Linked DNA regions of Arabidopsis thaliana. The protein of the gene in region 1 binds, or shares a complex with, the protein of each later gene. Each region holds a gene or a part of one and is shown in the gene's direction. Other genes may lie near its edges. The genes, in order: AT4G01310, emb2394, RPL4 and AT1G29070.

Region 1 (7,828 bases):
CTAAAGCTTAAGTTGTTTTAAATTTGTATGCGTCAAAAGACCCATGCCCATAGTTTTTATATTTATAATGTACTTTGGGATCCCTTGTCCATATCGAGACGAAGAGATACAACTATGAGCTAAAATTTAAATTAATGGTTTGGAAATTGGAACCATATGAATGATCTTTTCACCAAAGCAAAATTTTGAAACTTATAAACTTTCTGATTTTTATAAACCGGTGAACTAATGAATGATATTATACAGACTAATCCAGAATTTAGAAGGGATGCTTTAAAGGGTAATGTAATTATGAGAATATGATAAAGAAAAAAGGATAAGGTTTGGGCGAAAAGAGAAACCCATTATTGCACCATCATAGCAAGAAATGTATCATTCTCATAAAAACAATTCTGCCTTGTTCAATAATTCTGTATCGCTGAATCCCATGTTCAATTTAGTACTACTTTTACACGATTTTCTAACATGTGGTAGTAACACCAATCATAACCTATATCACTTTCAAAACAAGAATGATTCATATACGTTAGATTCTCCTCATTTTAATAAAAGAAGACGAATCAGAAATGATCATATCGAACCGTGCGAGTGATTCCACTTTTAAGAAACTCAAAAACTAGTAGTAACTAGGCAAAACCCACTGTAAAAGTAAAAAACAAACAAAAGAGGCCTCTGCCTATATGGTTTTACACTTTTTTTTGTTTTGTTTCGACCTGTCACCTAAAAGACATCAACCCGTACAAGAGACGAGTTAAGCGGACTTAATCTGTCTTCTTGTCTTCTCCATCAATGGCTCGAAGCCTTTCAACAAGAGGAGGATGTGAGTAGTGATAAGCTGAGTACAATGGATCAGTGTTCATTGCTGATAAGTTCTCTTCCTGCAAAATCCCAACAAAAAATCCATTTAAGTGTGTGACACAAATTGAGGTAACAGTTTGTGTTCTGTTGTTATCTTCTCTGACCTGTAGTTTCACTAGAGCAGGACGAAGATCTTTTGCATAGCCAAGCTTCACAGCAAAAGCATCAGCCTGCAAAAGGAACGTTAACTCAGATTAGTAGATGAGGCTGCCATTGCAATAAAGAAACTATGGTTGGATCTTGAGGGATTGTAAGATGGTACCTGAAACTCAAACGCTCGACTAACGAGGTTCAGGCCAAAGCTTACTAGATGTTGCAGTGGTATTACAGTGTGCTGTGATAATCAGACAGGAGATATAACCAAAGGTTTAGAGTTTTTTTTTCTTAATCCATCCTTGATTCATTAGATTAGTGTCAAAAGGCAAAAATAACAAACCTGAAATATGATCAAACCAATGAGAACAGGCTGTGTATCAAATCCGAAACTCCTGAAGAGATCAGTGGAGTTTCTGACAAGAGTGTATCCTCCAAATTGTAAGAAGGCAAGGATCTGCAAGCAAAACATTGAGAGAGGGTCATAAGACATGATTTCTTAAGTGAAATGTAGATGTGAGTAAGTTTTTGAACTGTCGGTTGAGCCTCACTTGAACTGCAATGAACGAGTATGTAGTGTGATTCAGTTTCCAATGTCCAAGCTCGTGTGCAATAACCGCCACAATTTCATCCTCATTCTTGCACTGCACAATAGAAGATTATGTTATGTTTCAGAACCAGAAACAGAAATGTGAGTATAGCTCGTTTGAAGCATCAAGAGTCACAGTACCTGCTGAATCAACGTATCATAAAGAACAATCCTTTTGTTCTTAAAGAAACCATACATGTAAGCCTGTATGATGTAACAAGATACGTAAGCTTCTAATGGTAAACTAGAGTAAAGTAGGTAGGAAGAGATCTCAAGCTTCTCACATTGCTATGGCTTGACCTTGTAGATCCATCGACAACAAACAGCTTCTTCAAAGGAAACTTTAGAGAAGAAGCAAGTTTCTCAATCTTCTCCCGGAGGTCTCCATCTGGAAGCTATAGCCATAAAAAAGCGGGAGATTATATTGTCTGGTAACAACATATGCAAACAAGCAGTGAATTGTAAAATGGCCATGACAGAAATACACACAGGAGTGAACTTGTTGAAGAGCGGTGCTATCAAGACCGGGTATATAGTCATCATCACTAGAGACAGGATAAACATGAATGCCCACAGATAGATGGCAAGATAAGGACCTCCTTTCTGGAAAAAGATAGAAACTTCATGCTCAGAGAAGCAAATTTTAAATTTTTAACACGAAAACTAAAAACTTTGAAGCTCACACTCAATGGAGAATAGTCATCCATGTGAAAAACTCAGAAATAAGATGAATCCAGAATCATCAAACCTGGACTATGAAAATTATCGCAGCAACAATGGGTGGGCCTAGTATGACAGAGAGGAATGTTCCTTTGATCATGTCCCTAATGAACATCCATATTGTTTGCTGTCAACAGAATTTAGAAGCAAATTTAATCCACATCTCTGATAAAAAAACGTAAGTCACAAGGTAGTGTTGGAAATACGACATACTTTGTTGAACCCATGCCGAGACTCGATCACGAAAGTTGAGTACAAAGAAAATGGCAAATCAGTGATCTGCATCAGAATATAAAAGAAATATTATTATCTTAAGAAAATAGATATTTTGATGCTAAACGTATAGGACTATATGAAGGGGTTTATTTGGAACACCTGTGACCATGTCATAACACCAGCCAAGAATGAAAGAGTATGCAGTATTTCATTCTCTGGATCAAGGCCCAACCTCGGTAAAACAGCTCCAGACATCTAAGGTAAAAATGAAAACTTTACAATTGTAATGTAACAACTCTATATTCAAAATGAGATACTGTATACCGAAACCAGATATGTACCTTCCAAAACCAAGGCAAGATCCCAAAGAACAAAATTGCAGAGTCCATAAGTATAGTTACAAACTCATGAACAAAGTGAAAATAGCTGCATATATTAAAGTTCTCAGTGATGATATCCCCTGGCAATTATAAAAAACTAAAATGATATAAATATGATCAAGACGAAACCTTTTGTCAAGACTGTATGCTCGTGATTTCTCAAACTTCTCTTGGCTAATTACACCAACCAAGGTTTTCGGGAGAGTTGGAAGCTTGAGAGCAGTGAGTTGCCTCAGATCCAAATACGTCTCAAAAATGTACATCACTATCATAAAACCTGTAAGAAAAAGAATAAAACAGAAGATGAAATACGAATCTACTCTAAATGCCACAACAACAGATACTCCATCACTGAAAATTCAATAACATCATCTACTTTTTTGATCAACCAGATATAAAAAGATCTCTTGTGCTGACTACTGATGGAAACATTGGAGCACTGAAAGAGTTTTGATGCAACATTCACATACGGTTCCACAACACAAAACCCATTTCAAAAAACTCCAGAAAACTCTAGTTGCAGTCACGAACATAATAATACCCTGACAAGAAAACCCAAAACCTCAAGCTGTATGACTTGAACAAAGAAAAATTTCAAGATTCTCAATTTCCAATCGGGAATGAGGAAAAAAAAGACTCCGACTTTTCTTCCCAAATCCTAGATTTTGGTTAACAGAGAAGCTCCGTACATTCTAAAACCGAGGAAGAGATGATGAAATCACATAAGCTCAAATCAAATCAAACGCACGAGTAAGACAAGAAACTAGTAGGAGTAATAAAACCTCAGATCAAGGTACGCACTATTAGAAAAGAACAAAATTTAGAAACGAGAAGCAGAGACGATGGTATATGAAACAAACGAGTCATGGAATCTCAACACACACAACACAGAAAGCAAAACCCAAACAAAAACGAAATACGATGAGTGAAACAGGATAGTAAAATGTCTCAGAAAAAGGTTTTGAAGCTTACCCACGACGGTTTCCATGAAAGGAATCGCCATGGCTGAGAAAAGAGTGACCTGAACCGCGATGAAAGCAGAAGCAAATCGAAGAAAGCAGAAGCAAATCGAAGAAAGCAGAGGAACGACAAAAGAGAGGTTTTTCGTTTTTGACTCTTCTCAGGTCGGTGTGGATATGTAAAACAACAAAAACACGGGTACGGGTTATACCTTAGAAGCCCAAATAGTAAACGGGCTGAGATTTAGGCCCATATGAAACAACCCCTATATTTTATCTAAAATCTCTAAGTATAATAGTATATTATCAAATATTGGGGCCTTAGTTGAAATATTATGTTTTAAAGGGGCTAAACGGAAAACTCCTTATCCTCAAACTGTCAACAAATTACGAAGGTGCCATTGGGTTTAATCAACAACGAACGCCGAGAGCTCTCACTTCACACTTTATCCACTTGGAGCTTCGACAATGGCGTCTCCTTCGCTTCTGCAGTCTTCCGCTTCTTCGTTTCACGGACGTTTCTCACCATTAGCGGCTCCATCCTCCGCACGAATGCTCTCTCCGCCGCTCAGAAACGTGGTGAAAGTCTCGGCGTCTGGAACTGTACTGGTCGAGAAATCTGAAGCCGAGAAAACTCAACGCCTCAAAACCGCTTACCTCGAGAGGATTATCCCTGCGCTCAAAGAAGAGTTCAAGTACGTTAATATTCACCAGGTAACCCCAAATCCTTCCCCTCTGAGCTCAAACCTAGTTTTTGTTCTGTTGCGATTGATTGAAGTCTAATTCTCAGTGAATTCGAATTTTTTGAGCGAATGTTAAACCTAATTTGCTTTTAATGATAAGTTTGAATTGATTTCTTCTAGAAAATGTAGTGAAGAAGCCTAGATTTAAGATTGTTGTGTTGATAAAATCGTGCTGTTGGGATGTGCCATTTACAAATGTGAATGTGAATTTGTCAATCTCATCATTGTTGTATATCTGCTTGGACATCTTCTCTACCAGGTTCCAAAGGTACAGAAGATTGTAGTGAATTGTGGTATTGGAGATGCGGCGCAGAACGACAAGGGTTTGGAGGCTGCGATGAAGGATATCGCGCTTATCACAGGGCAGAAACCTATTAAGACACGAGCTAGAGCTTCCATTGCTACTTTCAAGATCAGGGAAGATCAACCTCTTGGGATTGCTGTCACTCTCAGAGGAGATGTGAGCTATATTTCTCTTGACTAATCAAACTTTCCTTTTGAGTTATTTATGTATTAACATTTTGTGATTTTGACTGTTGTGACAGGTAATGTACTCCTTCTTGGATCGTCTTATCAACTTAGCCCTTCCGAGAACTCGAGATTTCCAAGGTGTGAGTCCCAGTAGCTTTGATGGGAACGGAAACTACAGTATTGGTGTGAAAGACCAAGGTGTATTCCCTGAAATCAGGTTAGTTCTATTGTATCTACCCTCAAAATCAAAACTACTAACTTGTTATCCGCTGGTTCAACAAGATCAAGCATGGTTTCTCTTTAGTCCCACTCTTTGTTTACAACCGAGCAACTAAACTCTATGTTGGTTGGTTGGTTTATTACACTCTAGGTTTGATGCCGTTGGAAAAACGAGAGGAATGGATGTATGCATCAGCACAACGGCTAAAAGCGATCAAGAAGGACAGAAACTATTGGCTCTAATGGGAATGCCTTTCAGGGAAGGAGGTGGTGGCAGCACAGGCGCGATAGTGCGGAAGAAGAAACTAAAGTCTCATCACTTTGATGCTAAAGGAAAAGGAAAGAGATGATGAACATAGCTGCCTATTGTATGTATCGTCTTCTGTAACCAACCATTTCATGTTTCAGAAAAACCATCTCCTTTTGTAATGCTTTATGAGTCAATTTGAAAATAATATCAGGGATCTTGTTGTTATGGTAAAAATTTATCAAGGTTTTTCTGTAATTTATTGAAAGTTTTGTGGATTATACAAAATGTAGCGCGTGAGTGAACGTGAAAAGCTAGCGCGTGGATTTGTCAATTTTACCTTCCCCTTTGAGAGAAATCGCTCTTCTTTGTAAGACTTGGTTTCGATCTTCTCTTTTTCATCATCAATCGATCAAAACAAACAGCAACAGCAAAATTATCTTTCTGCAGATCGAAACCCTAATTGGTTTCTCCGTTCTCCTTTTGTTCTTCTAGAATCGGCGACTCTTACTTTTTTTTCTTTCTAATTATCCTTTTCTGATGGATTCTGGAATCCATGTAATTCCCCATTAGCGCTAAAAACCCTAGCTGTCGAAGACCTTAGATTACTGCAGAAATGTTATAATCTGTTTTCATCTTTTCCCGATTTGAGGTTTTTATTTATTTTGGTTGGGTGAGAGAATCCGATACGAGAGATTAAAGCCTTGTGAGTTTAGGATGAGCTAGTTTTCTTTGGCTTTGAGCTGTAATTTCTCTTCTCTGAAATCTTTCACTGTACATATAGCTAGATCCTGATGAAGTTGCGTGGTGGTGAATCGTGGTTTAAGTTTTGCTAGTTGAGATATTATTGGTGGTTACTGTAATATCGAAGAATCATATTTCACGGTATTTACTATAGACAACTACTGTAGAGTTACTTGATTAAGGCGTTAAGAAGAGATACTGGTGTTTTTTGGCCTCAATCAGCTAAGATTTTTGTGCATTGTATGATGAGTATAGCAAATGAACAACAATTTGCCATGGATCAACTTGTCGAAACCAATGATGATTCGGAAAAGTATGTTTTTTCTGTTTTTTGTAAAATCCATGTCTCTGTTTTGCTGCTTATTGTACATTTCTCAGCTGCAGTTGCAATTGTTTTCAGGAAACCAAGAATTACATACACGAGGAAGTTTCTTATATCCTTGAGCGAGAAAGACGTTTGCAAGAAGCTGCCAAATCTGCCTGGTGAATTTGATGAAGCACTGTTGCTGTGAGACTCTATCCGATAGTTTTTTTTTTAGTTTGGATTTCTAGAAACTGTGTAAATGTGTTTGATCATGTTGGAGTGACATGTCTTGATTTGTACACTCTTTATTTGAGTAGTGACTTCGAAGATCCTTCACCCGAGCGAGCAAGAATTTCAGGCGATTTTTCGTCGCATGGTTTCAGGCGGAATGACTATAGTTCATCGCCTCCCACCAGGGGGGAATTAGGTACTAACTCTCGAGGCACCCATGGAAGATGGGAAGGGCGCTCTGGTGGATGGAATGATAAAGATAGTGATTCACAGTCAGACCGGGACTCAGGTAGCCGGAGCTTACTCGTATCCTATTCTTTACATGCTGTATGATGACGTTACTACAGTAACAAGGTGGACTAGTATTCTGAATAGTTACCTTGTTGTTATATATGACCTATAAAATACTCCTACGAATTATGTCTTTCTGCAAAAAAGTGTTCATTATTATGATTTCAACTCTATCCATCTGGCTGTTCAATATGCGTAAATGTAGATTTCCACCTTTTTTTAACTAAAGTGAATGGCATGAAGTCTGCTTGTCTAGTGAACATGAAAAGAAGGTCTTTTCGAAAAATTCTGGAATTTGGGTGTATTATAGTTGATTTGGAACTGTGTATTTTGTTAGGAGAGCCTGGAAGGCGTTCTGGTATGCCATCTCGGAGGTCTTGGCAAGCACCTGAGCATGATGGACTTCTTGGGAAAGGTTCTTTCCCTAAGCCTTCTGGATTTGGTGCGGGAACATCTGCCCCTAGACCTCAATCTAATGACTCACATCAGCTGAGTAGAACCAATGAACCTTACCATCCTCCTCGCCCATACAAGGTTAAGTACCCAAATATCTGCTGTAGTCATCTTGAATAGTCTCTGGTACCATTGATTCTTGAATACTGCTCCATCACGTTACTGGGTTTCATCAGCTGGTTTGTGAGGTGTATTTGAATGATTTAACGGCATAGATTCATAAATCTCTCATGTACATTTGTAGGCGCCACCTTTCACTAGACGTGACGCTAGAGATTCATTCAATGATGAAACATTTGGTTCTTCTGAT
Region 2 (7,739 bases), on another chromosome or scaffold:
ACCGGAGCCACCACCACAAGCCCTGATTCTATAAACGGTTGTGTGAAATCTACATATCTTGTTCTGTTTGTGACGATTGTGATATCTCCTACAGCTACATCAAAATTCTGAAGAGGAAACATGAGAAAAGACAGGTTAGCATCTTCTGAAAGTTGTGAACTTGATTGAGTAATGTAGCTACTCACATCCGCAACAACTTCATTGACGAGGTTATCATAAGAAGGATTTCTCTTCCCGTCTCCATATAGTATATAAGTACGTGGAACAGGATATGGAAGCAATTCAATAGCGGCTTCAAAGACATCAATGCAGTAGCCTCTAACGCCAGGCGGGTTTTTATCCTTAGAAACGTAATCTGTATAGCTCACACGGTTAGGCACCCCGATTCTGAGCGGTTTTCCATTATTAGGAAACACCCAACCACGAGGAGGCTTAGTTACTTCTCCTGGATATATGATTCCTTTAAGACGCTGGTTTGCTGTAGATGTGTTTGGAGGCCTAGAGTACAAGGTCTCTGGATGGACCACAGAGAGACCCGAATGATTTGACCAGTACCCGACTGTGCGTGGAGCTGTACCTTCTAAGTTTAGAACTTCATAAGCCGGATTAACCCGGTTTCTATCTGAATCAAACTGGATTGGACCCGTCACACCAGTATGATTCATCCCAAGAATGATCTTCATAAACTTCTCTCCTTCATTGAAAACACTTAGTGCTGATAGCTGAATAGTGCTACCATTTGTTTTGTGCAGATTTGGATCGTTGGAGAAAGTTATGTTATTGTTTTCTCTGAAGAAAACATCGAGGGCACGAGCAACTAACCAAACAGAATCATAAGCATACATCGCATAAGAGTTAAAGCCATCATTTGGTCTAAGATTCTTCCATCTCGCCATAAACTGTCTTTTGACACTACTCTCGATTGTGTAGTGGCGAAAAGCAACCACTCCTTGCAAGAGATCCATCGTGTCTGAATCCACGTGCTCCATGGAATCCATAGCTGTAGGAAGCCAGTCTGTTGCGATCCAAACATAACCACTTGCCATCATTCCAAGAGATTTAGCCACAGAAAAAACGTTTAAACCAGAGTCAGGATTCACATGGACAACAAAAACCCGAGATTCCATCAGATTAACAGAAACCAACAAGTCTCTGATGGAGCTAGAATCTGCACCAGGAGTAATTGCAGCCTTGTAAGAGATCCTCGAGCGTTTCTTGGCTAATACATCGCCAAGGACAGATATCCCGTTCCTGCCACACTCATCATCAACGAATATCGCAATGACTTGTCTCCATCCGGAATATGATAGAAAATCTGCGATCGCATGCATTTGGAAGTAATCATTCTGCGTGGTGCGGAGGAAATAAGGAAATTGCAGAGAGGAGAGAGTCGGATCCGTTGCTCCAAATGACAAGAGAGGTACATGAAGCTCATTAGCTACATAGGAGATCATGTGAGCAATCCCTGAAGATTGTGGACCAATGGCTGCAACCACTTTGTTTTCCATCAGCTGCAAAGCTACACCATAAGATGAAACATAATCATCACTCATTCTTTGGGGGCATTTTCACAAACTAGTTCTGAGTTAAAAAGTTGGCCACAGTAGTAAGAGAGAAGAAGAAGGAGAAGCAGTATATATACCTCCCATGGTGCCGATAAATCCACTGCAATTTGAGTCTTGAAAGATGATATTAAGCTTGATGCCCTTAAGAACACTTTGGTCAGCATTAACATCATCCATAGCTGCTTTAACCGCGGGTTTAGCCGCTCTTCCGATAAAAGAATCATAAGTAAACAGAGCTCCAACATTCACAGAGCTTGGCCTCTGTCTTAATGGCCGCAAAGAAGAAGAAGAAGAAGAAGACGAGTTTCTAGAGAAATTACTTCTACAAGCACATTCCTTTGGAACAACCCACAAGACAGAAACACATAACAACACAACTCTGATTGCTTTCGCCATGGAAACTTCTCTTATCATCACCAAAAATCCCATCTTTATCACAATTTCCAGCAAAAGCACTAGTTTTTCTTTGTCCTGGTCTCATATAACCATTTGATTTATTTGGAGTAACACCTGCGAAATAAACAATGCCCAACCTGAATCAAAATTGAGATTATAACAAAAGACAAAAAAGATGGTCCAGAAATCTGGTGAAAGAAGGCAAAACCAACCAAGAAATCGGGAGTTAGATTCTGTAGAGAGATTGGTGTATACAGATTTTTGTGTCTGTATATTTATTTATAGTGTATAAAATAATGTATTTATATGAGGCCCTTTGATTCTAGAAACTGGTGCTTTACATGTGCAAGTAAGAACTGAAAATAATGAAGTGTAAGAGGGCCGTCTTAAAGATGGTTCGCAGAGAAAGAAGCAAAAAGTGTAATAAATAATTCAATGAACAAATAACTAAAGATTATATATGTAAGAACATAAAGAAAAACAAAAATTAAAAGATCCAATTGAGAAAAAGAAGAAGCAACCTTGGAATAAATACGAGAAACAAACTTTAATCAGAGATCCATAATCTTCACAAGTAAACGAGTGATTTAGCACTAAGCATAAAGAAGAAAGACAGAGAAAAGAAGTCGAAGAAGCAGAAGAAGAACTGTTTCTGAGCTCAAGCAAAGAATAATTCATAATATTCTCTCTCCTTTTTTTTCCCTATTTTCTTCCTTATCATTACTTATTTTTTTGGTATTTTATGAAATTTTGTAAATTTTGTTTTGGAGTGCTATTTCTGGAGTGGTCAGTGAAGACGTAGGCCAAGGTGTGGGGTAGTATGATCGATGCTTTACTTGTGTCCTCATACTATTCGATAAATCAAATTTTTACGTTGGCTCTTATTGGTAACTATCATTTATTAAGGTAGTTGATGCATTTTTCTTTTTGGTTACAACGGATATAGTTAAATGGTAATTAGGGTAACTACGTATGACATGAGGCAAAATAATAATTGAAAATGTGAATGTGAGGAGTGACGACCTAATTGCTCCAAGGCCGCCTTCGTCAAAGAATAAGTCTCCTCAACGGTTGTCAAATCAATTTCACACAAAAAAAAAAGAAAAGAAAAAGATATTTTCAGACATAAATAGTAAAGTAATTGTACTATTGATTTCATATGATAAAAGGTGCATGAAACACATGGTCGACTATTTTTTGTCTTTAGAGTGTTCATTAAGGAATGTTATTAAAAAAAACTTATAAGAGCTGCATTTGTTATTACATAGTTCCTTATTGAAATTTTCATTTGTTAATTGTTAACACAAAATAAAATATGCCACTGAATCCACAAATATCTTGTCGGTATCGAACTTTTTATTTATTTAGAACAAGAATATCTTGACCAAATGAAATGTGAACCAGGAAAATAAATATACAGTTCATCTTTTTTTTCTTTGAATCTTCTCAATTTGTTGTTTGGATTTTTCTGAGGGTAAGGGCCCATTTCATTTTTAAATTTGTCTGTTAAGAGTAGTTTAAAATCCATGCCTTTAAAAGATTCGACTTGAAAACATACTTAATCGGGAAAGATGCACAATTTTGATCCAAACGCATCTACTAATAATCTATTGACTTCATTAATCTAATCCAAACTCCACGTTCATTGGGTAAATTTTGTGAACAGTTATTATAATAATGGGCCTAGAAACAGTGAGATAATAGGCCATGATCAATATAGATAAATGGGTTACACAAATAATGAATTGTCCCACAGAAGGATGGTTAAAAGTAATGGGCCGAAAATAGTGAGCTAATGGGCCGTGAAAGTAATGATTTGAAAGAGGGGATTACAGAAGCTGACGATGGATAAGTCTTTTCTGGATAAAACGCTCTTCTTCTTCTCTTCATCCTCCTTCTGGAGCAGAGCTTAGAGCTCCATCATCAAATCTTATCAATGGCTTCCTCACTCGTCTCATCTTTTCAACCCAGGTACTTTTCATATACTACAAACCATAGAGCTTCTTCATTCCGCTAGGGTTTCGTTTTCTTTACTTGGCATTTTCTACTCAAAAATCTCTATAAACTGTGTTCATGAGCCTCCCAAGTATAAGGAATCTCTTTGAATGGGTTATTTTTATCTTTTTAAATCGATGGCAATGTTGAATTGGTTATGGACTCTTGAAATTGTGGATTTTTATTTTGGGAATTTGAATGTGTTATGCGGAACTCACTGTGTAAAAAGCAGGATTCTAGAGGGGTTTTTAGCCATGGAAACTGAAAGTTCTACAAGAATGTTTCTCTTCCTTAATCTAACGTTATCTTTGTTCCAATAACAGTTTCTGTGTATTGGTTTAGATATATATCTGGTAGAGTTTTACTTTCTTGACATGTTTTATCTGAAGATAGATAGATAACTTCCCCTTTGTTTTAGGTCAGCATTTTTGGGAGATAGAAATGTGTTCAAGGTCTCAAGCACACCTTTTGCTCAAGTGGGTTACTCCAGTAAGACCATTGAGTGCAAAGAATCAAGGATAGGAAAGCAACCGATCGCTGTACCTTCCAATGTAACCATTGCATTGGAAGGTCAAGACTTGAAAGTGAAGGGTCCATTAGGAGAGCTGGCTTTAACTTACCCACGCGAAGTTGAGCTTACAAAGGAAGAATCCGGTTTCTTAAGGGTCAAAAAAACCGTCGAAACTAGAAGAGCCAACCAAATGCACGGCCTTTTCAGGTTACAAACTTCTCATCTTTTCTTGTCATCCAATGAAGTCCTTAACTTTTTTGAGGTTAAAAGATCGTTTGTTCTCTAATCTTTTTTTTTAACTTCTGTGTGACTTTTAGGACGCTTACCGATAACATGGTTGTGGGAGTATCAAAGGGATTTGAGAAAAAGCTTATACTTGTGGGTGTTGGTTATCGTGCAACAGTAGACGGAAAGGAGCTGGTGCTAAATCTCGGGTTTTCACACCCGGTGAAGATGCAGATACCGGATAGTCTGAAAGTGAAAGTGGAAGAGAACACAAGAATCACTGTGAGTGGATACGACAAGAGCGAAATCGGGCAGTTTGCTGCAACGGTTAGGAAGTGGAGGCCACCAGAGCCATACAAGGGGAAAGGAGTCAAGTATTCCGATGAGATAGTTCGGAGGAAGGAAGGAAAAGCTGGAAAGAAGAAATGATCTTCATTTTTCATTATTATCTACTTACTTATCTCTTCCTTTCAATGTTTATGTGTATTTGCTCAAATTTGTTTAGAAATGAAGATGTTTGTGTTGGGATTCTTGAGTAAGTTTTTAAAGGAACCCATTAATTGTTTTTGATGCTCTGACAAAAATTTCTTTAGTGCTTTGATTGAACAAGAACTTGGGCACAAAGTGCCTCATCGGTGTGATTCTATTGTTATGTTTCCTTATTGAACCAAACCAATCCAAATCGGACAAAAATCATGGTAGATAAACTTTTTAAAACAATTTTTTAATCTATTCTTCTTTTTTTTAATTACAAATTTTCTTATTTTCTTATATCTAAAAAATCGTAACAGTAAGATATTAATATCTGTATTCTTAATTTGGTAGATAACTTTTTAAAAAACGAAAATTTCCTATAAGAATAATAATAGTCGGAAATAAAACAAAAAACAATATCATGGTGATTATTCTTATTTGCTTATATCTTCTTCTTTTTCACAATTTTTTTTTAAAAAAAATATTTACAAAATTTTCTTATTTGCTTATATATATAAAAAATCAGTAAGATATTAATATCGATTTTTTAATTTGGTAGATAACTTTTTTCAAACGATAAATTTCCTAAAAACAATAAAATATTCGGAAATAAACAAAAACCCTGATTGAAGAAAAGTCTTTTTGTTTATCAGTTCACCGGAGGCAAAAATCGTCTCTCGCTTGAGCTGCGAAGATGCAAGCAGTAAAAAGATCCAGGAGACATGTTGAAGAAGAGCCAACAATGGTAGAACCTAAAACCAAGTACGATCGTCAGCTCAGGTATACATACTCTTTTTCCTTAAACTCTACTTCGAACTACTCTTGTCGGGAGGAAAATTGATGAAGTAGTAATCGTTGGGTTGACTGATTAGGATTTGGGGGGAGGTAGGTCAAGCGGCCTTGGAAGAAGCGAGTATCTGTTTACTCAATTGTGGCCCTACTGGTTCCGAGGCTTTGAAGAATCTCGTACTTGGTGGTGTTGGTAGCATCACCGTTGTTGATGGATCTAAGGTTCAATTTGGTGACCTTGGGAACAATTTCATGGGTACTGACTAATTTTGAAACTTTTTGATTGTGTTTCTTCTGGGGGTTTTGGGGGACTTGCTTGCGTTATGATGATTTTTTTTTTTCATGTGAAGTCGATGCGAAGAGTGTTGGCCAATCAAAAGCCAAATCTGTTTGTGCGTTTCTCCAAGAGCTTAATGATTCTGTTAACGCCAAGTTTATTGAGGAGAATCCAGACACGTTGATTACTACTAACCCATCTTTCTTCTCTCAGTTCACTCTCGTTATAGCCACTCAGGTACCATTGTTTTTCTATTTGTAATCTTCTCTAATGATTTGTGTGTTACAATTTTTCAAAGTTCTAATCTTTGCTTACACAGTCACTCACCATGGATCATGATACCTTCTATTCAATGTTCTTTAGTTAGTTTCTCATATGTACTTTTCCTCGTCCTCTTCACGGGATATTGCTTTATTAGGCTTCTTTTTCCTGTGTTATTGTTATTTAAGTTCGTTATTTCATCCCCTTTTCGACATTGATTGGTTGCAGCTGGTGGAAGATTCAATGTTGAAACTTGATAGAATCTGTCGAGATGCAAACGTTAAGTTGGTTTTGGTTCGCTCTTATGGCCTTGCTGGGTTTGTTCGCATCTCTGTAAAGGTAATTAATACCACCTGTCTAGACCCAATTTGTGATAAAGTTTAGATTACTTTGTGGTATGCCGTGGTTAGGATATTGGCCAATGAGAATATATGCTAAGCTCTCTTCTTTTCTTTTTTATCAGGAGCACCCCATAATTGACTCAAAACCTGATCATTTTCTTGACGACCTCCGCCTGAATAATCCATGGCCTGAACTCAAGAGGTCCACTGCTCTCATATCCTCTCACTTTATGTTGTTCTGGCATCCTTTAACATTATGGTTGTGGATGGACGACTGAGTACTTACTGATATTCTTAATTATTTAATGAACGGCAGTTTTGTGGAGACCATTGATCTGAATGTATCAGAGCCGGCCGCTGCACATAAGCACATACCTTACGTCGTCATTCTTGTAAAGATGGCTGAGGAGTGGGCTCAATCCCATAGTGGTAATCTTCCCTCAACCAGGGAAGAGAAAAAAGAGTTTAAGGTTTAGTTCTTTTTTGTAACTTATAAAATTTATTAGCGAGCTTGCTTTCTTGTTTTAATTATCTATATCCTTGAATTCTTAGGATTTGGTTAAGTCCAAGATGGTATCTACGGATGAAGATAACTACAAAGAAGCCATTGAAGCCGCTTTCAAAGTTTTTGCTCCTCGAGGAATCAGTAAGTAGATATCTTGTTTGGTCTAGGTAGAAACTTGACTTAGAATGTTTACTGTTTCCATGGTTGAGTTAATAGGTGTAGCGATTGTTGATATTGGAGCTAAACTAACAGAAAGCTCTGTCACGGGTCAAATCACAGTATTCTTCATGTTGAACCAAACCTGTTTTCTCTTCCAGGCTCAGAGGTTCAAAAATTAATTAATGATAGTTGTGCTGAAGTGAATTCAAACTCCTCAGCTTTTTGGGTGATGGTAGCGGCT
Region 3 (7,728 bases), on another chromosome or scaffold:
ACAGAAGTCACATAATAGATTTATGTAGACATTATTTACATGCAACTCTCACGAATAAGTAAAATAGACAATACGCGAGCGAGCGAGCGACCGAGACAAAAGGTTTGGGAATGATAACACTTAAGAAGTAGAGTTTGATCTGGTGAAGGAGGATGATGAGTTGATGAACTGTATGCAGTCTTCTATGGCCTCTGATCGATGACTGTCATTGTTTATTGGGATGATTGGTGGCTGAGACCTCCCAGAAAAAGAAGAAACCTTCGACGGTGGAGATCTTTTCTTCTTCCTCATCACCACCAGACGCAAACCTTTTGCAAATTTGCATCCAAGATGCTTGATCAATTTTGCTGCTGTCACTTCTGTTTTCCTCGGTAACCTTAATCCGCAGCTTGTTGTGCATCCCGGACTCTTACCATAAGGTCCCTTGATAGCTGTTTGCTTAGCCGAAGCATCTCTCTGAACCGGTCTAGTGTTGAGGTTGGACCGTTTTATACCAGTAGCTGACATATCAAGAGAAAGATAGAGAGAGTGAGAGAAGTTTATGGGAAACAATATGAGGATAATGAGAGATATTTAACGGACTGGTGCTGAGAACAGTTGTGCTGATAGTTCAGGCAAATACGGGAAAAGACATGAAATGATTAATGATGTATATTATCTATAACATCATTACGCTTAGGCCATGATTAAGCACTCAAGACATAAACAAATAAACAACTAACAAAAAAGTGTAACTTCAATCTTATTTTAGACCCTATATATAAAAAGACTTGTAGTTAAAGTGGATCTACAAATTTATAAAGAGAACTATGCCCAAGAGCAAAAAGAGAAGACTAGGTTTAGTTTTTTCTATTTTTCTTTACGGTCCACAGAGGGAATAAACCCTTTGTTTAAGTGAAGAAAAAGGTTAAGCAACCATTTGGTATCATTCTTCTTTGATGATCACTCATGTGTGCACATAAGTTACATAACAATCTAAAAAAGTTTCTTTTTGACTCCAGGAGAGGCCAATATAATCTTACCTTTATGGATGCAGATTCCTTTCATGAGTCTGCGGCTACAATAAAAAGGAGGGATCAAGGAAAGAACAAAAAAACAAGTTAATGGTGGGTACAAGAATATGAGAAAGCATATAATAAACCAGGGAGTGTCAGGACATAAATAGAAGATCACACAATCTGGAGAATAGAGTGATTTTACATGTGAAAACATTCCATTGAGAACAGAACAATAATACCTGCATGATTGTCAGTGATTAGATGCAAATAGCATGAGATTGACTGATATGTATAGCAGGTTACCAAAATGCCAAAAGGGAAAAGAATGCAATAGCAAAACTGCTCTGTCTCATCGTTATAACAAGAGCACAATAGACTTAGCACCAACCGTGTACATACCATTTTACCCAAAACGATCAGAGAGAACATCTTTTCTGCACTGTGATGAGCATGATTCAAGACACATTAATCCAAACGCTCAATGAATATGGAGATCACTGGTTCCAAACGAAAATCACACATTGGTATCATCAAACATGAAATAAGAACCAAAGTCTTTAACCAGCCTGCAAAAATATTCGGCAGAATCGCAGGATATAGGACTGTTCATGTCTGAGACAGAGCATACTACCATACCTAATCAGAGCATGGTTCAAACAATAAATCAACAGTAAAGTGATTCACATTAGAACATTAACCCTAAGAACCCAATAGCTTGATTCAAGAAACTGAATGAAGGAAAGAAATGAGAGATGTTTTAGAAACATGTACAAAGGTACAGAAGGGGTAACACCGAATATCAGCTAGAAAGAAGCAACAAATCAATTCACAAACGAGACATACATATAGACATAACATATACTTCACCAAATTCATATTTTGTCATCAGCCATTTCCTGGTGTTCTAACACCAACAAATCTGATGATAAGTAAAGCCTTAGAAACGCCGCACACTTGTGAAATTCAACAACTTTTTGCCATCCTCAACATTCACGGCGATAATCACGGCCATAGCTGTAGTTTGGCCTAGCTCCGAAATCACTCTCAGACCTCTCTGCAGCAGCTCTCTCTTCCTCTAAGCTCAATCCACCCATCGTCTTCTGCAACTGCCTGTGATCATAAGGAGAGTAATCGACTGGTGCCGATGGACCATTAGGCACTCCGTAGCTAGACAATCGCGAGCCCATAGGTGGAGCTTGTGGCTTGTACTCGGTAACCAGAAAGGCATCAACGGGTGCTGAGGGCCCACTAGGCGGTGGACCGTAGTTAGAAAACCGAGGAGGAGCTAAAGGAGGCTGCTTGTGATCAATCGATGAGAAGGCATCAACGGGAGCAGATGGGCCACTTGGGAGGCCGTAATTGGAGGCACGATCGTACATTGAACGTGGTGGAGGAGGCGGATAATAATACCCGGAATAGTAGTGATCAGTGAATGCGTAAGGAGACGGAGACGGTGACTGTGAGAATTCTCTGTAGTCACGCTGAGGAGATGGAGCGGTGATCGGTGCTTGAGGAGGAGGAGGAGGAGGAGGGCTAGGGGAGTAATAATGGTTTCCTTGAGGGGCAGAATAGTAATCTAGTGGTTGAGATTGAGGACGTGGCGGAGGATGCTGCGGTGGAGGGATTGGTCTGTCTTTGATCGCGAGCTTCAAACGAATCTTCCCCTGTGGTCGACCCGATGGACGAACCAGCTCGAGCGAGTTGATCAATTCCGGAATCATTGACCCGTCCGAGTCAATCAAACGAGCTAGAGGAAACCTAACCGATCCGACGAGGGTTTTCGCCAGATCCGAAGAATTGGAATGAAAAACCTCGATGTTGAGGACCGATTCGTGGACAGATCGGGTGAGAGGAAGAGTAATCCGCTCGTTCCACACCGGTTTGATGGAGGAGGAATCATCGGAGCGGGTGGAGAGAGGGTGGTCTTGGTCAAGATACAGAACAACGTAGGGTTTCAGGTCACCGTTACGCCAGTTGACATTCTTCAGGTGCTTGGCAGAGACGACGGTGACAACCAGGTCGAGTGGCTCCGACGAAGTCATGAATACGGTGCGTTTCAAGACGAGACGGTGGCTTACGCGGTGGTCTTAGCTAACGTGCGCTCGTATCTCAAATATCTGTATCAAAGTCTCAGCTATCATCAACTATCATCGTTTTATCACAGAGTTTTATGTCTCAAAAAACCTGCTGGCTATATAAGAGGCTTTTGACTTTTGGAGTTTGACTCTTTCTTACTAGCGACAGCTGGAGTTATTCATGAACAGGATAGTTATATCCTTATGTCCAAACAGATGCATAAATTCTCACCAAGCACAAGATAGGCATTTGAAGAGTGGATAACACTTTCTCAGTCTTTCTTCTTCTTCTTCGTTGTGATAGGTCAGGTCAGGGAACAACAATGGCTTCTTCTGCAACAGCACCAAATTCGCTATCTTTCTTCTCATCTTCTCTCTTTTTATCCTCCTCTCACCAAATCCCTAAAACCTACATTTCCGTTTCAAAACTCGGCTCCGGCAGAGTCTCGAAGCCGCTTTCTGTCTCTTCCCAGCTAGCGACTCTACCGATTCTATCATTCGAAGGAGAGAAGGTCGGAGAGACGTATCTAGACCTCAAAGCGGCGCCGGAGGATACCGCGCGTGCCGTTGTGCACCGAGCCATCGTGACGGACCTGAATAACAAGCGGCGAGGTACTGCTTCCACACTGACTCGCGGTGAAGTTCGTGGTGGTGGAATTAAACCTTACTCACAGAAGAAAACTGGCCACGCGAGGCGTGGATCTCAGAGAACACCGTTACGTCCCGGTGGAGGTGTGGTGTTTGGGCCAAGACCTAAGGATTGGTCAATTAAAATCAATAGGAAGGAGAAGAAGCTAGCGATATCTACGGCGTTATCGAGTGCGGCATCTGCGGAAGGTGGTGCGATAGTGGTGGAGGAATTTGGGGAGAAGTTTGAGAAGCCCAAGACTAAAGATTTCTTAGCTGCGATGCAAAGGTGGGGATTGGATCCCAAGGAGAAAGCTATGTTCTTGATGATTGATGTGGATGAGAATGTGGCGAAATCGAGTAGGAACATTGGAACCTTGAGGATGTTGACGCCTAGGACACTGAATCTGTTTGATATTTTGAACGCTGATAAGCTTGTTCTGACTCCTGCGGCTGTGGAGTTCTTGAATGCGAGGTACGGTGTTGATGCGGTGGAGGAAGAAGATGACGATGAAGATGAGACGGAAGGTTAGTGTTTTCTTGAAAGGAACTGGCTTGTTGTCGAAATTTGATGTTTTGAATGTTGTGTTTGATCGTTTTTGTCTGGTTTTAATTTCTTGAAGAGGTAGAAATATGATGTGTTAATATGGAAAAGTAATTATTTGTTTGTGTTATGAAGGGTCAGAGGAAGCTTAAGAATGAGTAGCACCCGTAGTTCCAATTGCTTCAAGTGTGGCTTAATTATGAGTTTAATCTTGAGTACATCTTCTCACTCTCCTTGATGAGGTCTTCTCTTTCCTTTTTGTGTCACAACAAGAGAAATGTGTATTTACTTTTAGAGTTTTTCTTAAGAGATCATCCTCAATTTCTTGTCATACTGATTTTGTGTCCAACTCTCAATGAAGGAGTAAGGAGTGAAATTAGATATCATGAGTAACGTTGATTGTGTGTGTATCAGTTAAGATTGAGCAACAAAGATTGACTTTAGTCATCAAGTTAACAAGAAAGAGTGGCTATTATAAGCTTTAAGCGTTGATGTTCATCTTGGTTTTGAAAATCATGAATAGTCTCACACAAATCTGTTAACAACTTGCTAAAAAAAAGGATTAGCTAGAAAACTTAGGAAGTGTCAATAGTGTATGTTATTTACAGACATTTGATGGGTCTTGGTGGGCTTAAGAAGATAGCCCAATCTTTTGAAGAAAGAGATATGAGATGCAAAATCCATGAACTTTAAGGGTCAATTTCTGAACCAGTAAAAAATGTGGTTAAAAGTGTAAGAAAACAAGAATCTTTGGAAACATGTGTAAGAAAGCAACTAATTTAACTCCCGCCCTCTCTTACCAGTTTTCTATTTTGTCTTCTCCGTCCTTACCGTGTGTTCTGAAAACTGAAAAAGAACCAAAACGAAAATCTAAAAAAACCCTTGAAAAATCTATTTTTTATTGACTGGTTATTGTTTCAAATGAAAGCTTGACCTCTCTCTTATTGATCAATTTTCGCTTCTTCAATTAAACCATATTTGTTTTTCCCTTTCAAGCATTTTGATTCTCTAGGACAAAACACAAACCGCCATAGACAGAATGCTTTGGGTTATTATCTCTCAAAGTGTTCTGAGAATTTGAACTGTTTAAAACATGGGAATCGATGCCAAAGATGTCGGAACTCTGTTCTGGAAAATTCTCAGATTTTCCACGAACATCGTTTATAGAAACGTAAGGAATCACCCAGTTGTTTCTGGTGTTTCTGCAATTATCTTCCTCCTATACATTTTTCTTCCACGCCTTTTTTATTTCGTCCTTTACTCTTCTCCGTTAATCGCATGCTCTGTGTTTTATCTTCGGAATCATCCAAGTTTTAAGCTTTTGCATATCAAAACGGATAATTGGTTTTCACCATTTTCCCAAAAGAGATCTGAGGAGGAAGAAACAAGGAAGGCTGACTTAAAGCACCAACGAAGTGTTCGACGAAACGCTAGAAGGAAAGTTGAAGAGGTTGGGAAAGATTGGGACTCTTCTCAGGCTAGTGAAGATGAGAGAGACAGAGTCATTTTAACAACTCTCTATGGTGAAATTCCCAATACTGCAAAATCTCCCAAACTTCAGAAATTCAAGAAAGATGGAGCCTTTCTTGTGTCTGAAGGTTTCTCCTTTGAGCCTAGCTTAGATGAAGAAACTCTTTCAACCACCGGGAATGTTTCCGTTGTGGATCCATCGGAGAGGTTGACTAGTGGTGGTGGCGAAACCGAGATCGAGTGTTCATCGTCATCAGAAGGCGAAGAAGAAGAAGAAACTACACGTGAAGACAAAAAGATTGTAGCTTGGACAGAGGATGATCAAAAGAATTTGATGGATTTAGGAAACTCTGAGATGGAACGTAACAAGAGGTTAGAGCATTTGATTACTAGAAGAAGAATGAGGAGATTAGTCCGACTTGCCGCTGAGAGTAGCTTAATGGATATGGAAGTTCCTCCAGTCTGTGTTGGACGGAACTATTTCGGTTTGGATCAAGAAAACTATATAGTTGATGGTCTTCAAATGCCTGAATCTGCACCTTCTGTGTTATTACCAACTAAAAACCCTTTTGATATTCCTTATGATCCACAAGAAGAGAAGCCTAACCTCTCAGGAGATAGTTTTCAGCAAGAGTTTGCAGCCAACCCTAATGATATCTTCTTCTGCCGCCATGAAAGCTTTTGTCGCAGAGTCTTTCCATTGGACAATCAGCTTGACACGAAATGGGAACCGTGGAAAAAGAAGTCAATACCACAACAAGGTACATCCTCTTGTCATTCTGAAAAATGTTGTAGCTTACAAAGTAAATGATTCTAAGTTCTACAATTCTGATCCTTGCTCATGTAGGTAGCAATGATGGATTGGTTGGGGAGAAACATCCTGTAATGAAAGGAAAAGATCTAACAAGAGGAGAAGTAAATGATATGGAGTCAGAACACATGACAGAGATTGTTGTTAGTGATTCAAACTCATTGCTTTCTCCTGAAGACAGGGAAATGAATTCTGATGTCTCAAATCAAGCATATTTTTCTGGAACTTCTGGGAAAGGAAATGGTGATCTTCGTGTTGAAAACCCTTTAGTTGGTTTAGTTCCTAGAAACACTGGTTCGCTTTCGAGTTCTTTAGCAGCGGAAAGGCAAAGATACGTGGAGCATTTTGGTTATAGCTCAAAAAAAGGTCATAAGTTATCTGTAGAATCTGATCTTCAAGTTGAGGTTTCTGAAATTGGATCACCTCCCACTACAGTTGATGGGAATAATTCTTCTGATGAAGAAAAATCACGTATTGTCAACGAATCAGACATTGGGAAGGAGACGGGATTTAGTGGTGAGGAGAGCATTGTGGATAGAACTGAAGAAACTCAAATGTTACCAGTGGAGAAAGTTGATAAAGATTTAAATGAAACGATTTCTAAGGTCTCTCCAGAAACTTATGTAGCCAAACAAGTTGAGGGTCTGTCTGATGGTACTGATATCAACGGAAGATCTGAGGAAGAAGAGAGCTCAAAATCCGGACGCTTTCCACTGGAAAATTCAGACAAAGGATTCTATATACATGAAGAGTCAACAGTTCCTCACATCAATGAAGTTATTTCGAGAAGAGAAGAGGTTATATAGTTCTTGTTCTTGTCAGGTTTTATGGAAATATGATTGCTACTTGCAATGTGTTTCTCAAAATGTTGAATTTGAATATATTCCTTGTACCGTTATGACAGGAACGTGTCCAAAACTTGACTGATGAGATGAAGATAAATGATGACTCTGATGAACCTGAAGCCTTTGAAAGAAGAACAAATCAAGAACCCCAAGAACATTTTGGGGGAAATGATGGAGACCAATCAACTCAAGAGTTGCAAGAACTTGTGGAACCTGAAGTTTCAAATGTGAACAATGTCACATCAGACGAGTCTGCTACTTCCCCAAGATCAGTGTTACCAGACATGTTGTTATCTTTAGACCAGACTTATACTCTGACTTCTGAGAGTTTGGAACATACATTAGATAGTCAACCTCC
Region 4 (7,853 bases), on another chromosome or scaffold:
AAGTAGTGGTGGGCTTTATTAACCAACTGACAATACATCAACATAAGCTAATGTACGTCTCTGTTACCTAGCGGTGACACCATATATGACAATACCTCTCTTTTTCAATGACATCATTATGAACCTGTCGGTCGATTTTACATGATGTCAACTCTTCTTTCTGTTTACTAAATCCCTCATCTAGTTAATTTCGAATATATAAATGAAAAAAATAATAATTAAAAAGATGTTTATTTACTCACAAAGATAGCCATAACCATAAGCTTATAATGCAGAAAGGAAAATGTAAAATTCTCCAATATTTGTATCAGTGATTTAACAAGTTTTTGCGATGATTTAATAACATTCTCCAACTTTTTTTTTTTTTTTTAATATATAAATTCTCCAACTTTCCATTTTCTCCTTTTCCGAACTACATTAGCAAATCAATTTCTGTTCACAGTTTTTGAACGTTTCATTGAACCATTTTTCGTAAATCTTCTTACCATTGTTAAAAAGATGGGTACAATAATTCTGCTTTCAGGAAACAAAAAAGGACTACAACTCACGTAAAAATTACGATAGGATCTGGTGGAAGGTCAAATGTTTGAATTTGACTAGTAGATATATAGTCCAATGCAACATGGACCGTATGAATAATGGATAACACTTTAACGTCATACCAGATCAAAATAGAGAGGACAAAAGTATGAATGACACAAGACATAAACCATTTGTTAGATAAGTACAAAAGACAAACGCTCATTTCTTTTTAAAAATTCAGACAATATTTCAATAAAACAGAATAAAAGTCCAAGTTTTTGAAAAAAATAGAAATTTTCCAATTAATATTTATTTTCAATAAAAATGTTAATTAAAGCTCAAAATTTTCATTTTCTGTACTAGACCTCAAATTCGTTGGACTGGACCTCTTTGATCCTACTAAAATGTCAAAACGATTGCAATGACACCTAGCCCCAACCAACTAGAAACAACAAGTCAAGACCACTACTTTATGTGAAAATTGAGTTACCGCTTACCATCATCTATCATATCAACACTGAGATATTGTAACCAAAACTAGGATATGTTTGTTTGGCTTTCATCAGTGATACACAACAGTGACAAATGATGAAATTATGTTTGTTTTGTAGTTTGTTGGTTCAACAATACCTTTCAGCGATAAAATCATGCTTGTTACATTGTTGCTAATTCAGAAAATTTAGCCTACATATCGTTAACGTTTATAAAACAGTTGGTTAACAATCACTAAAAATTAATATATTAAAAAAAGACTAAAAAATTAAAAATAAATACCGATGGATAAACTAACGACTACAATGCAAACACGATTCTATTATCTTTACTCTTCGTTAACAACAATTAGAAAATAACAACACCATCATGAAAAAACAACATTTTTCTTGTGTAATTGGGTATCGTTGATGCTTACAATACAACGAATGTAGAACGAACAGAGTAAATACCTCTCTTTTTCAATGACATCATTATGAACGAATGAATTTGTGGTCCACTAAAGTTGGGATCGGCCCGTTAAAAAAGCCCATAAACCAAAAAATATTGGCTGACGAATATTTCAAAACTGCCATTCTTTATTTGTTTACATAACTCAAAAACATGACGATAATCAACCAATATTAAAACGCCACGTGTTCCCTCGCGGTCATTTATCATTGAATCGAAGAGCACCCGCCCAGCTTGTTTCAATCGTCGTCGTTTTTCTCTTTGATTTGCCTGAAATTTGTTCTCTTCTTTTGGTTGCAATTTCTCGATCTCGAATTTTCTGAGAGAATACAAAACTTAATTTCTCAAACCCCAGCAGATTCGAATTTAGGGTTTCTTACACCCATTAGATTTCGCGTCGATGGCGTCCAATCGCGGTGCGGGTGGTTCTCTATACGGCGGAGCTGATCCGTATAGATCTAGGTATATTTCTAATATTATCAGTTTCTCCTTTTCTGAAATCGATTCTGGATAGAGAAAACGGGTCCTAGATTTGGTGAATTCTGCGTAAAGTACAAGTATTTATCTTTGGTGTGTGATTTGTAGAGAAGGGCTAAGCACTAGAAATGCTTCAGGTTCAGAGGAAATTCAGCTGAGGATTGATCCTATGCACTCTGACCTGGATGATGAGATTCTAGGTCTCCATGGCCAAGTCAGGCAATTGAAAAATGTAAGAAACCCTCTAAATCCCATTTCGATCTTTCTACTTTTTATCTATAGTGCCATTTGTATTGTCTTCTTGTGGTTCTGAAGGATCATTGTTCTCTTTAAGCTTTAAGTTGATCATATGAATTTGGAAATTTGTCTTCTTTTCGGTTTTGACAGTGGTTAGAGCTTGGTTAATTAGTTGTGTAGGTGTTTTTTTGTTCAGGGTACTATGATAATGTTATTGTTCACAATACTTATCAGTCAGTCCACGATTAATTAGTTGAATCCACTTGTCTGATGTCTTTTGTATACATCTGTGGTTATTGTTTTATATCACCACCCTTCTTGAAGGAATCAGTCGACATTCTCTACAATTCCTTGTGTTTTACCTTGCACTTTTGCGCATTATTTATCCCTCATGATTTTTTGTTATATCGTTGATCGCTTATTTTGATGCAGATTGCTCAAGAAATTGGGTCAGAAGCAAAGTCTCAGAGGGACTTCTTAGATGAACTGGTATGTTGTTGATGTCCCTTTAGTTTTTTCTTTATCCATCATAGTAAATTGCAATGTAAGCACTTAACATCAGTAACATGCATTCATTTACTCTTCTTTACCTTTAAGATGAATCACTGATTATATATAGTATATCCGAATATCGGTTTCCTATAACTTGTTTCAGATGTCTCTGTTCATTATTAGTTGGGAAAATATAGTTTCATCCTAACATATGTTAGATAACTTTAACCGTAGCTTACAAAACCAATGAATCTTGATAAATCCAAAGTGTAGATTATGTTTACTTAGGATCTGGTCTGAACGCTGGTGGTGGGTAGGATTAGATATCTTCAATCTCACCTAGTTTGGTGAAATGCAGCAGGAAATGGTTACAGCTTATCATTGAGTTCCTGCCACTTTGTCAATGAGAATGTTGGTGTTGAATGTGTTCATTGCTTTTAGTTCGTTCTAGTTTTTTCTTTTGTTACCTAGAAGAACATCCTAGAGAAGATAATGACAAACAACTAGATTTGGTAGTGAGACTGCAGAAACAAGCATTTAGTGCTGTTATAAGCAAAATAAAATAAGTAGACGAAATGTTGTTCTTGTCTGAAACATAAAACGCTTCAATGGTATTTTGTTTTTGTTTGTGACAGCAAATGACATTGATCAGAGCGCAAGCAGGGGTGAAGAACAACATAAGGAAACTGAACCTAAGCATAATCCGTAGTGGTAACAACCACATAATGCACGTAGTTCTTTTCGCGCTCCTCCTCTTCTTTATCCTCTACATGTGGTCCAAGATGTTCAAAAGATAGATAGAGAGACTCATGGCATACTTGTGTTACCCCCCAAAAAAAAACCCTTGATGAATGTTGGATAAGTTGTAGAAAATATCCTCTAGATTACAAACATTTTGTGGTTCTTCTCGTTACCTGTTATATAGAGTGCCTGTTTTTAACAGTTTACATGAAGCAAAATTGTATCACAGAACAACAGCATGAGATATTTTAGACCAGTTCAAATCTGGCCTTAACTTGATTAATTACCCGTCCGGTCCAATTCAGTATTGGGCTTTTATAGTCTTATGGGCTGAAGTGTCGTGATACGTGTATTATTATGGTTGGTTCTTATGCGTAAGTTTATGGTGGTATCGTCCGTAGACGATAGAGGTTCCACACTATGTAAAGGAGACCGGAGAAACAAAGGAACTGGGTTTGGAGATAAGAAGTGGGAACTTGAATGGCTTCCTTATCCACTTCCGTTGTAGCTTCGGCTTCGTCGCGTTTATGGAATCCTGCTGCCTCCAACGGCAAGATTTGCGTTCCTTCTGCTTCGCTTTCTCTGCGTACGGGTTGTAGACGGAGTTCGTCCTCTCTCACTTCTTCCGCTTCTTCGCAATTGCTTCATTGCTCGTTTCTCTCGTCGCCTGTTTCCCTAGCGTCTCCATTTTCTGGTACATCTTAAATTGGTTCGAATTATTGTTTGTGTTTAGCTTCTGGTGATGTAATGTATCAAGTTCTTTTACCCAATTTTGATTTTTTTTTCTGGTTCTTTGGGTTTGGTTGATTTATCACTATTCTCGTGTGTTAGGCTCTAGCTTACTTTGCAAACACATATATTCGAAGCTTTTTTAGAAGAATTTGGGAATTGTGAAACATAGTTGTCAATGGTGAATTCGATTTGGGAGTGTGAGTGAAAGAAGCCATTTTGTTTGTTTCTGATATTTCTTGTTAAGTTTATAACAACAAGTGAAGATAACATTTTGCAACTTAAGCCTCAATTTCTGATATCTTAGCTCATGTATTTGTAGCCGCAAGTAAATGTTGTTTGATTTTTAGTACAAAAATCTTTTAGCTCATGTCGATTATTTAGGTACAATGGTTATAGATTTGCTTCAATATGTCACATGAACTTGTTCCTCCTCCTTTGATCATAATTTTCTTGTAAAGTATATTGTACGACCATTGTAGCTAGGCTAAGATTTGAGCAGTGAATTATAAGCTTTGCCAATTTAGCAACAGACGTTATGGTTATAGCTCAAGAGTTAAAAGGGTAACCTAGGAGAATGCATTAAAGTCATTTTGGATTTGTCTGGGTCTTGATTCTGAGCAGTGTGTTGAGAGTTTGGTATTGTATGGTGAGTTCTTTGGGTAATTAAAGGAAGGAGTTTACCGGTTCCAATATTATCAGCTTGATACACTATCAAACCTATAATGTCACATTGATCAAAATGGTGTTGCTGTCTTTTCAGGTTTGTCCATTGCGTTTGATCTCAGCAGTCAAACTAGTGGACTGAATGGCCAGAGACGCAGAGGCCTTGTGGTTAGAGCTGGAAAAGCTGCTCTGTGTCAAACTAAGAGAAGCAGATCAAGAAAATCTCTAGCTAGGACTCATGGTTTCCGTAGAAGGATGAGGACCACTAGCGGTAGAGCAACCATAAAGCGTCGACGTGCCAAGGGACGTTGGAACCTCTGTCCCAAGTCCAACCCTAGCAGCGGCAAACGGGCTTGAAGTTTGTTTCTCTCTTCACTCTATCTGTAATCTTGTTTCATGTGCTTTTTTTCCACCAGAAGATACAATGAGAAACATGGTTCGTTGAGCTCTTTTCTGCGTTTTAACTCTCTTGCATCCTTGATTCGTTTATAAATCAATGTTCTTGGAATTCATCACATGTACTACTATACTACTTGCTTCATTGAATTTGTTACTACTCGAAGTCTCAACTTCAAAGCCATAATTACTTAAAGATCTCTTCTGGCCACCAGGATAATTCTGGTGTGTAAGAATTGTTCAGATTCCAAGTAGTGTTAATGGTTGCTGAAAGTTGATGTATATAGTTTGGGGTTCAATCCCTGAAGGATTTTACTTTCATTTACTAGTTTTATTTCAACCTAACAATTACTTTTAAGTACTAACCCTAAATTATATTCCCCTTAAAAAGAAAACTGCACCAAAAACAAACTAGTTAAGAAAAATGAAACCAAAACTAAAAAAGAAAAGTTCCTTCTTATTGGAAATTAGGGAGGGATCAGATTGTGTAAAAAAGAGAGCGCCCAATAGTCGTAACAGGCTTTGGGCGGAACGCTCTTCTCGCAATATAAGCGAGTTTTTACCATTCATCATATCCCCTTTAACTTGCCTGAAGGATCATGCCTTTTACGTAATTAGCTCTTTCTTTTTTATAGGCATGTTACTACCATCACTATCTCTACCTAAACGATGTGGGACAAAATAAACTATTCTCTTGTTTGAAATAAGGTTTCTTATCTCAAATTCATATATCTTTGTTTTTTAAAGTGGGTCTATAAAAGGCCTCTGTAGCTCTCTTTTTTTAAGGTGGGCCGATAAAAGGCCTCTGTATCCTTTTTTTTTTTTTTTTTTTTTTTTGTCTACAATGTAATAGTCTAAAGTTTTAAACCTATCTAGATGAATGAGCTATTTATCAAATATTCGATCCGTGTCACTCCTCTACTCATCAAACTCTTCATAGGAAGGAAAGTCTCCGGTCATAACATAATTCACATACGTTATTATGTTTAAAAGGTGTATGATGTGATGGACTAGCTAGTAGCTAGTAAAAGCCGTGAGTAGGATCTTAGGACGAGATGGCATGAGAATTCCATTTCTATTGCATATTGATGTTCGTGAAATGGTTGATATATGTTTACATTGAGCAAAACACAACTAAACTCAGCTAAAGTCCAAACACGCGATTTTTTTTTTTTTTATATAGTGAATTCTATCCATCATATTACATGGAAAATATCTGTAATTTTTCCAAACTTATCCAACCACCAAAATGCACTTTAAAACTGATGAAAAGTGCAACCAGACTAGTGACACACATTCCATCGAATGAAGAGAAAAGAAAACCCACCAAAAACAGATTATCCAAAAGTGATCAAATCCAACAGATTGTTGGTTATCCCGACACGCCAACAAACTTGTCCTTGGGGATTGCATTTTAAGAGAAAACGGTTTCTCATAACCGTTGGAAATTATATATAGTCTATATATTCATATGATAGTTTCTAATATATAATAATATTATTATTTCAAATTTACATTATAAATAAGAGTTATCTGACACATGATGTGAAAGTCACCTAAAAAGATGTTTAAAAAAAAGGGTAAATTGCGCACAGTAGCCGTTGACTCACTTTTAATTTTAGATTTTGACATTGTGGGCTGGGCCTTTCATTTCTTAGCCATTCAGCCAAAAACTGATCAAAATGCCCCTGACGAAACTGAACCCGGTTTGTACGTACGGACCGCGTCGTTGGAATCCAAGAGAACCGGATTTGTACGTACACTGTTCATCGACGAGAAATGCATTAAATGTTTTCTAGGTTTCGGCGAATTTGACACTTGAGATTGAAATTAAAAATTTTAAAAATTGGTTGGGCTCAGAAGTTTTTCATGCTAAAAAGTTTTGACAAAACTAAAACTCATGATTACCTATTATAATAGAGATTATATTGTAAGATATTTACATAATTGAGATTAGAATTCTGAGAAAAAAACGAAAATCGAAATTGTGTTACGGTGAAGAATCTGAAGTTTTCAGTTGCTGTTTTACAAAGTTTGAAGGATTGAAGGAGAGACAATCTGTGTTCTGGGTAAGAAATTCGTGTTAATCCTATTAATTACACTTGAGAACGTGATATGAAAGTAATGATACGTTTTTAAAAATTTCTGGGTTCATAAATTGTTTTGTTGGAGATTCTTTTTGTATTTGTAGATATAAATGAAAGCTCTATGATCTGTTTTGTTAAATTTATAAGTACATAAATTGTTTTGTTAGAGATTCTTTTTGTCTTCGTTGATATAAATGAAAGCCTTCAAAAATATCTTTTGTATTTAATGTTGTTCTGACCTGAGGAATTTATGTTGCAGGTATGGAGTTACCTGTATTAATTATGGTTGGTGAGTGGATATACAAAGAAGAAGGTTGGAAATTTGAAGCTGAAAAAGGAAGTTTCGGACGCTGTGTACGTATTACAGACACAACGACGTACACGGATTTGGCAAGTACAATATGTGATGTTTTCAGCTATAAGTTTAGTGAATGGAACCCTATAATAAGTTACTGGATGCCTGGAAAGATGTCTGATATGATAGCAAGTAATCGCCCTCCAGTATATATTGAGAATCAAATCAGCCTGGATACATTTATGTTGATTCGTAATGGCGATCTTTCT

What was found.
Region 2: AT4G01310 (region 1) and emb2394 share a complex: the UniProt entries of both Arabidopsis thaliana proteins name them as parts of the 50S ribosomal subunit.
Region 3: AT4G01310 (region 1) and RPL4 share a complex: the UniProt entries of both Arabidopsis thaliana proteins name them as parts of the 50S ribosomal subunit.
Region 4: AT4G01310 (region 1) and AT1G29070 share a complex: the UniProt entries of both Arabidopsis thaliana proteins name them as parts of the 50S ribosomal subunit.

What each region holds. Positions count from the first base shown.
Region 1 is NC_003075.7:541,936-549,763, reverse strand, and holds AT4G01310 (Ribosomal L5P family protein), read left to right. Parts: upstream 1-4,197; 5' UTR 4,198-4,283; coding exon 4,284-4,529; intron 4,530-4,817; coding exon 4,818-5,018; intron 5,019-5,103; coding exon 5,104-5,246; intron 5,247-5,399; coding exon 5,400-5,598; 3' UTR 5,599-5,853; downstream 5,854-7,828. Other genes in the region: ATSTE24 (Peptidase family M48 family protein), read right to left, coding at 762-878, 963-1,028, 1,121-1,192, 1,295-1,408, 1,503-1,595, 1,682-1,744, 1,825-1,935, 2,030-2,143 and 6 more; AT4G01290 (chorismate synthase), read left to right, coding at 6,482-6,552, 6,640-6,747, 6,861-7,063, 7,403-7,599, 7,763-7,828. UniProt on the Arabidopsis thaliana protein: Binds 5S rRNA, forms part of the central protuberance of the 50S subunit.
Region 2 is NC_003070.9:1,499,897-1,507,635, reverse strand, and holds emb2394 (Ribosomal protein L6 family), read left to right. Parts: upstream 1-3,782; 5' UTR 3,783-3,897; coding exon 3,898-3,932; intron 3,933-4,374; coding exon 4,375-4,674; intron 4,675-4,784; coding exon 4,785-5,121; 3' UTR 5,122-5,385; downstream 5,386-7,739. Other genes in the region: GLR3.4 (glutamate receptor 3.4), read right to left, coding at 1-107, 186-1,519, 1,643-1,994; AXR1 (NAD(P)-binding Rossmann-fold superfamily protein), read left to right, coding at 5,861-5,946, 6,039-6,211, 6,306-6,469, 6,722-6,832, 6,957-7,036, 7,151-7,304, 7,387-7,480, 7,657-7,739. UniProt on the Arabidopsis thaliana protein: This protein binds directly to 23S ribosomal RNA and is located at the aminoacyl-tRNA binding site of the peptidyltransferase center.
Region 3 is NC_003070.9:2,245,794-2,253,521, forward strand, and holds RPL4 (ribosomal protein L4), read left to right. Parts: upstream 1-3,173; 5' UTR 3,174-3,396; coding exon 3,397-4,228; coding exon of another isoform or gene 4,229-4,233; exon of another isoform or gene 4,234-4,379; coding exon 4,380-4,396; 3' UTR 4,397-4,736; downstream 4,737-7,728. Other genes in the region: AT1G07300 (josephin protein-like protein), read right to left, coding at 121-500, 1,023-1,212; AT1G07310 (Calcium-dependent lipid-binding (CaLB domain) family protein), read right to left, coding at 1,982-3,040; AT1G07330 (dentin sialophosphoprotein), read left to right, coding at 5,338-6,475, 6,562-7,322, 7,430-7,728. UniProt on the Arabidopsis thaliana protein: This protein binds directly and specifically to 23S rRNA. May play a role in plastid transcriptional regulation.
Region 4 is NC_003070.9:10,145,993-10,153,845, forward strand, and holds AT1G29070 (Ribosomal protein L34), read left to right. Parts: upstream 1-3,798; 5' UTR 3,799-3,891; coding exon 3,892-4,105; intron 4,106-4,903; coding exon 4,904-5,163; 3' UTR 5,164-5,415; downstream 5,416-7,853. Other genes in the region: AT1G29060 (Target SNARE coiled-coil domain protein), read left to right, coding at 1,865-1,926, 2,050-2,173, 2,611-2,667, 3,306-3,467. UniProt on the Arabidopsis thaliana protein: This protein binds directly to 23S ribosomal RNA.